Linked DNA regions of Oryzias latipes. The protein of the gene in region 2 purifies or fractionates together with the protein of the main gene of each other region. This does not show direct contact. Links are inferred from orthologs where the notes say so. Each region holds a gene or a part of one and is shown on either strand. Other genes may lie near its edges.

What was found.
Region 1: the proteins of spata5l1 (region 2) and timm13 purify together in Homo sapiens (co-immunoprecipitation; 3 studies listed by BioGRID and IntAct, with this or other methods). This does not show direct contact. The link is inferred for Oryzias latipes from reciprocal best matches to the Homo sapiens genes AFG2B and TIMM13.

What each region holds. Positions count from the first base shown.
Region 1 is NC_019862.2:8,256,446-8,259,789, reverse strand, and holds timm13 (mitochondrial import inner membrane translocase subunit Tim13), read right to left. Parts: upstream 2,181-3,344; 5' UTR 2,052-2,180; coding exon 1,932-2,051; intron 1,846-1,931; coding exon 1,777-1,845; intron 1,607-1,776; coding exon 1,508-1,606; 3' UTR 828-1,507; downstream 1-827. UniProt on the Homo sapiens protein: Mitochondrial intermembrane chaperone that participates in the import and insertion of some multi-pass transmembrane proteins into the mitochondrial inner membrane.
Region 2 is NC_019861.2:12,896,741-12,899,572, reverse strand, and holds the end of spata5l1 (spermatogenesis-associated protein 5-like protein 1), read right to left. Parts: coding exon 2,808-2,832; intron 2,716-2,807; coding exon 2,488-2,715; intron 2,404-2,487; coding exon 2,269-2,403; intron 2,173-2,268; coding exon 2,047-2,172; intron 921-2,046; coding exon 783-920; 3' UTR 720-782; downstream 1-719. UniProt on the Homo sapiens protein: ATP-dependent chaperone part of the 55LCC heterohexameric ATPase complex which is chromatin-associated and promotes replisome proteostasis to maintain replication fork progression and genome stability.

The DNA.
Region 1 (3,344 bases), on a different chromosome or scaffold from region 2:
GTTTTTACTACTGTGCATTTGTCTGAACTTTGTTATAGTCAAAAGGTTACAAAACTTTAGCCACCACATTGCACGACTAAAAGTATTTATTACATTTATTTATTGTCCTTTCCAAAAAATGTCATGCATTTTTATTATTCTGTGTGGATTTCTTAGTAATCTCCAGTCAGCCACAGACTTGAGAGCATATACAGGTGAACAGAAAAACTTGTTGGGGTATCTGACATCAGTGCATTTAGACACGTGATTTCCTGCAATCAAAACATTACATTATGACTCACAGAATATGAACTATTTAAAAAAAAAAAAAACTCTCAGAATTCACCCCCAATTTTTTTTTTTTTTGGCGGGGGCAAAAGTGTACTTTGTTTTTTTCTTGGTGCATTTTTCTGGTTAAATATTTATTTTCTTTCACTTGAGATGGATAAGTGCAGCTTATGTTATTTCATCTGTAACGTTTATGCTTTTATTGACGATAAACATAAAAGAAATGTTTTTATTTTTTTCTGCTGTTGAAAGTAATTCCTCTTAGTCTGCTTGCTAAAAAGGAAAAAGAGGACCGAGTTTGTCCTGCAAACTGCAGCTGGGTCTCGAGCGAAGCTGTGGAACAAGCCCCCCACTGTGGAGGCCGGGATATAGAGTGACACCTAGAAAACGTGTCAAACAGAACGGTTTTGTTCTCCAGCTGTATTTTGATATCAGGCTGTTTGCAGGCTTGTGAATGTCAAAAAACTGAGATTCACCTTCAGTCTTCCTGATGACTGAAAATGCTGTTTTTTTTTCTGTGATCAAATCTGTTTTTATTAAACTGAAATCCATGATCAAAAGAGTGAAAAAAAAGTTTTTAATCTCACTGGGAAACATTAAAAGCAGGGGTTTCTTGCACACACACACAAAAAGGGCAGCATGAATGAAGTTTGGAGTCACTTGCTACGCAGTAATGGCTGCCTGCTAAACCACTTTTCTGCAAAGAAATGTGGACGTTTCTGCGACATACAAAAAAAACACTGCCTGTATGAAGTAAAAAGAATTTTTACAGAAAAACTTTAAGGATTCAATAAATTCATTAAAGGGAAAACTTTATACCAATAGTGTACTGTTTTTATTTTATTTTAGTATAACTCAAACTAAATATGCATCAGCATGGATTTACAAAAAATAAAATAAAGAGTCATGTTTATGGATGCTTATAACAGAAAAACTAAATCTGCACTTTAATGTCCAAGCAATCTGTGACACCATGTTATTTTGACAAACTTCCCTGTTTTATGAGCACTACAGCTGTAAAACCTACAGGAAGGAATAATGAAACTTTAGAGACTTTCCCCTCAAATATAGAGTAAAACTGTCCACAGAGACACCAATATGGTTAGGAGTCCACAGGCTCTGTTTGCCTGTCATGGAGGTTTTATGGCAGAGATTGCTGCTGTGTGGACAGCCTGTGACCTCCAGCGGAGCACCGAGCAGATCCTCACAGACAGCAGGGGAAGGCAGACGGGAAGGAGGCTCACAGGCGAGCTCTTTCTTTCTGTAGTCTGGAGTTATACGTCCGGGATACAGTGTTCCAGGCATCCATGTATCGGTCCATGCACATGGCGATGCACTTCTGTAAAAAACACCAACAGATGAACAGCATTATTAGAGAATGCTACACTTTTATGGAAGTCACATTAATTCTAGGGTTCCACTAGTTCTAATTTAAAAAAAAAAGTAAAAAATATATAGACATGGTGTATTATTCTACAAAGCTAGAAGGCTAAGCTCACGCACACATACCTGCTCAGAGTTATCCAGAGAACTCCCAGGTTTACCTATGCACTTCTTAAAGCATTTATCAGTCATTCTCTGTAAAAGAAACATCAGTTTATATAAACATGACCATCGCAGGCTAAAACCCTGCTAGCTTAGTAACTCTCCAGCCATTGATTTACCTGCAGCAGCTCTTGTGCATTAGCTACCGCGATCTGGACTTTAACCTGCTCCATGATGGTTCCGGTGTCCATTTTACCTCCAGAACCTCCGGATGAAAAGTCTGACCCAAAGCTGTCCATGTCCACCCGAATCTAGCTCAAAACCACGACTTTAGTGAAGTATTTGGCAGCACACGTGTGTTGTTGTAGCTAAATTTCACCAGCGGGACTTTGCGGTGCCCTTGAATGTAGCGGAAGTCTGTAAACGTCATTTCCGTCGAAGAAGATCAGCAATTATAGGAAATGTAGTTATAATTGGTAAATCGCTCAGTCACCATTAGGTTATTAAATAACTTTTTGTTAATTGGTTATATTTGCTGTTTATTTGGTTGTTTTCTTTTCACACGTGTTGTGTAAACTCTTTAAACTAAAGAGTCAAGCTTTTTTAAAGCAACAGTGTTACCAATTATTCTGAAAATGCCTTTTGTGCTACAAGATTAGCCTCCAGGGGGCGCTAAAGGAAAACAATTTCCCAGTCAGCAGACTGAAGGCTGTTTCTTTGCATCGTGATGCAACCTGTAGAGTATGTGATTTTTTCATAGGCACTGTATACAAAGGATGATCTGGAAGGATCTACATTTATTTGTGGTAATTATTCTATTGCAATTATTATTATTATTCCATTATTCTTATGCAATTATTCTATTGCAAAAATGTTGATCTACAAATTCAATATTTTCTACACTTTGAGTTAATTAAAATAAAAAAGGGTTCAAATGTTTATTTTAATAATTTTTATATCCAATTGCACTAAACACAGTGTAAGTTTTAAATGTTAAAATTTTTTGACCAATTCACTATCAATTCAGCAGATAAGATGTCAGTATACAAATCGTTCCCTCCTACCATGATTTCAAATAAAAACTGACGTCTCCTTCTGCGATGTCCCTGCTTTGATTTGTGCTCAGACCTTGGGATTGAGGGTGACCCCCTCCAAAGACTCCTCTCCTTATGTTTCGCACACCATGACCTCACAGAGGAGACCACCTGCCTTGACTGAACAAACATGCAAGTCTGCAGGCAACAATAAAGTGACGGTTAGTGTTGTCTCAACGGACACTCTCTCACTGCTTTATGGCAACACTGGGCCATTGAATAATAATTGTGGGGGGTCTGATTAGGGACATGCCTGCCTTGGACTAATTATGGAGCAACGCTTGCATACACACACAACTGCAAACAGTCTTCAGAACAGTTCATCTAGAAATAAATAAAATCCAGATTATAATCATGAGTTCATTAAACTAATCTTCTTAAAATCGTAATCTTAAGCGCTCTTGTGCTTGAAAGTATTTGGTCCAGTCAGCTTGTTAAAGGAGGCTTCAGTGACACCAGCAGTTATAAAAAATGTGAATATTATGTATTTTCTTACAT
Region 2 (2,832 bases):
ACTACAAAGCTGCACTGCTAGATGGATTGTAGGTGCATTGTGGGTACTGTAGCCAGTAGTGATACAAACTGCTTCAACTGTTAGTGAAAGAGTGGAAGTTTGACATATCTAATGGTTTAGTCTCGCTGTAGTCAAAAAAAAAGACATTACTTTTTAAAGTGAAAAACATTTTTATTTTCCTTCAACCAGAGAGCCACAATGGAGGGGTCACCGAGCCACAGGCTGCAGACCCCTGCTTCAGATGAAAGCTGATCCGTTTGTCACGGTTCTCTGATGTTATGGAAGTTGCTCTGAAAGTGGCCTGAACATCTTCTGTGTCGCTTGTCCATGTCCCATCATTGCAGAATTAGCTTTTGGGGTTTCAGTCCGTTGAGTTTATGGTGATACTTAAAGCAGGAGCTGGCCAGCGGTTTGGGGAGTGTTGGGTAAATGCCACCAACATGTCTATTAGGCTGGTCAGCAGAGATAATCATAAAGTGCTGTTATTAGAGTTTGTGAGTGTAGTAGTTGGACCAACAACAGCAGTTGACACTGTAATACCTCTGGTTAATAAGTGTCTTGATATGGGGAATGCTGAAACCAACAATTGTCCTGTGTGAAATTCCTCTTGAAGCTCCGGCACCAGGCAGCAGTGCTCTCATTGTCAATCTCCCCGAAACTTTTAAAATGGCATTCTTATCTAATTGTGTAGTAACAGATAACAAAAAAAACACATTAAACAGAGTTTTTCAATATTTATTTGAAACCTATAAGTATCACATCCATGACTGAAGAGGGTAATGTTATCTGGGGGTTGTTAGATATGCTTGGATCTGCTGGGCAGTGAGTGAAGGCCTCATATTGCTGAGTGAATCCAGAAAATGTGCACGTTTGATCGTTGAAGCCTTCATGTTTTCCTCCAGTAGCGCCAAAAGAGCAGCCTGGTAAAAAGAAAGGAACAGAAAACAAACTTTGCTTTCATGTATTTTTCTTTCTCTGTAGGTTCGTTCTGCCCTCGTAGAACTGAGGAACATAGAGTTACAATGTAAGATATTTTCAAAATTAAGTAGCAAGACCAAAAACGTTCTAAATGCAGGTGATGGCTGTTGTCCCGGCTGTCGTATTCTCAGTATGCTTCACCCATATCAAGACTTTGCATTTAATAAATAGACTAAATACATTACTTATTTTAAACTTAGACATTTTATTTGCTTTATGGTTTAAGAATTAAATCGTATTAAGCAAAATAAAAACTAAAAGGAAGTGGATGAAACAGCTGTGTATGGGGAGATGTTCTGACACTGATGAGAAGGCAGCCTTCAATAATTACGATAGTTTATTCATTGCTGAAAAAGCCTGGATAAGTGTTTTTTTCTGTTGTCGTGGGATAGAGCAAAAGGGGGAACTAAAGACCCAGTCTGATCAAAGTCTTTTTTTGAGTGTTTTTAACATGTTCTTCTTGAAAATTGCATTTGTGAGTATTTCTTAATTTTTTTCAAAAAAGTCAAATAAAATGCTGTTTTAATAAAAAAGGTCATATTTGTTTAGTAGACAATGTGCTACAAGCTCCCTGCTGCGCTCCATGCTGATGCATCTGCCTGGAAACATCCAGGTGCACGCACGTCTCCGTTGCCCTCATCTGAGCCGGCATCAGTTTTAAAACTTTACGGCTGGATACCTTCATTATAGATCGCCAATTTTGTTGCAACGGTTAAGTCAGTTTGGAGTTGTGAGGGGCTGTAAGTTAGCAGGAAAGCATGTAAACAGAGAGCTCTCAGTTATGGGTGATGGGAAGGGGGCACCAACAGTCTCACCAGCGATTCAGAGGCAAATTTCTAATAAACTTTTGTTTCTCTGCAGAAACTATGTCCTAGAAAACAACACAGATTTTTTTAAATTTTAGCTAAAAACTGCATCATTATAATTTAAAAAAACTGGGAACGGTTTTACAATACATCAAAAGATGATCGCAGTGGATCTTTAAAGGCTTAGATTACTTTTCCCTTCAAACTCCAACATAGAAATGTATATTTGTTGACAGACATTAGTTGCCTGGGACAGTTTTACCTCTTTACACAGATTTTCCAGGTCTGCTCCAGAGTAAAGCTCAGTCTTATCCGCCAGCTCCTCCAGACTCACATCTGCACAGATGGGCATCCGCTTTGTGCACACCCTCAAAATGGACAACCGTGCCTTGAAACACAACACAGGTAGTTGGAGAAACTGGAAATAAAAATGTGGGATTCAACACTTTTTTGTTTGTTTTCTGCTTTCAGATACGAAATGTACCTGTTGATCGGGCGGCGGCACATAAATAATATGGTCCATTCTTCCTGGTCTGAGGAGGGCGCTGTCTAAGCAGTCTGGTCTGTTGGTCGCAGCTACAACCATCACGTCTTTGTTGCACACTTCCTCCCACTCCAACTGTAACAGAGAAAACACAGCTGATGAGATGAGGACTCATTCGGAGCTTTGAAGGCTTTCAGACACGGTTCTTCCTCGCCGGACCTCTTCCTGTGCTCCACTCTTGGTCATTCCCTCTGCCTGCAGAGTCTTCTCTGCCCCCCTCCTCTCGGTTGTTTTTACACCGATCCCGTCCATCTCATTCAGCAGCACGGACAGGAGACGCGTCTGCTCGCTGTTCTGTGTCTCGTTGGTGGACCGGGAGCCAATCAGAGAGTCGATCTCGTCGAGGAACAGGATGCTGGGAGCACAGGCGCGGGCCTGGCGAAACAGCTGCAGATGCACAGACAGAAGCACACGCATGGACCCAACCGCAGGAAGGAATCAAATCTGTCGCAGACTATATCAAACCTTTAGAGCCTGACCTGAGCTAAGGCCGCCTCTGAGTCG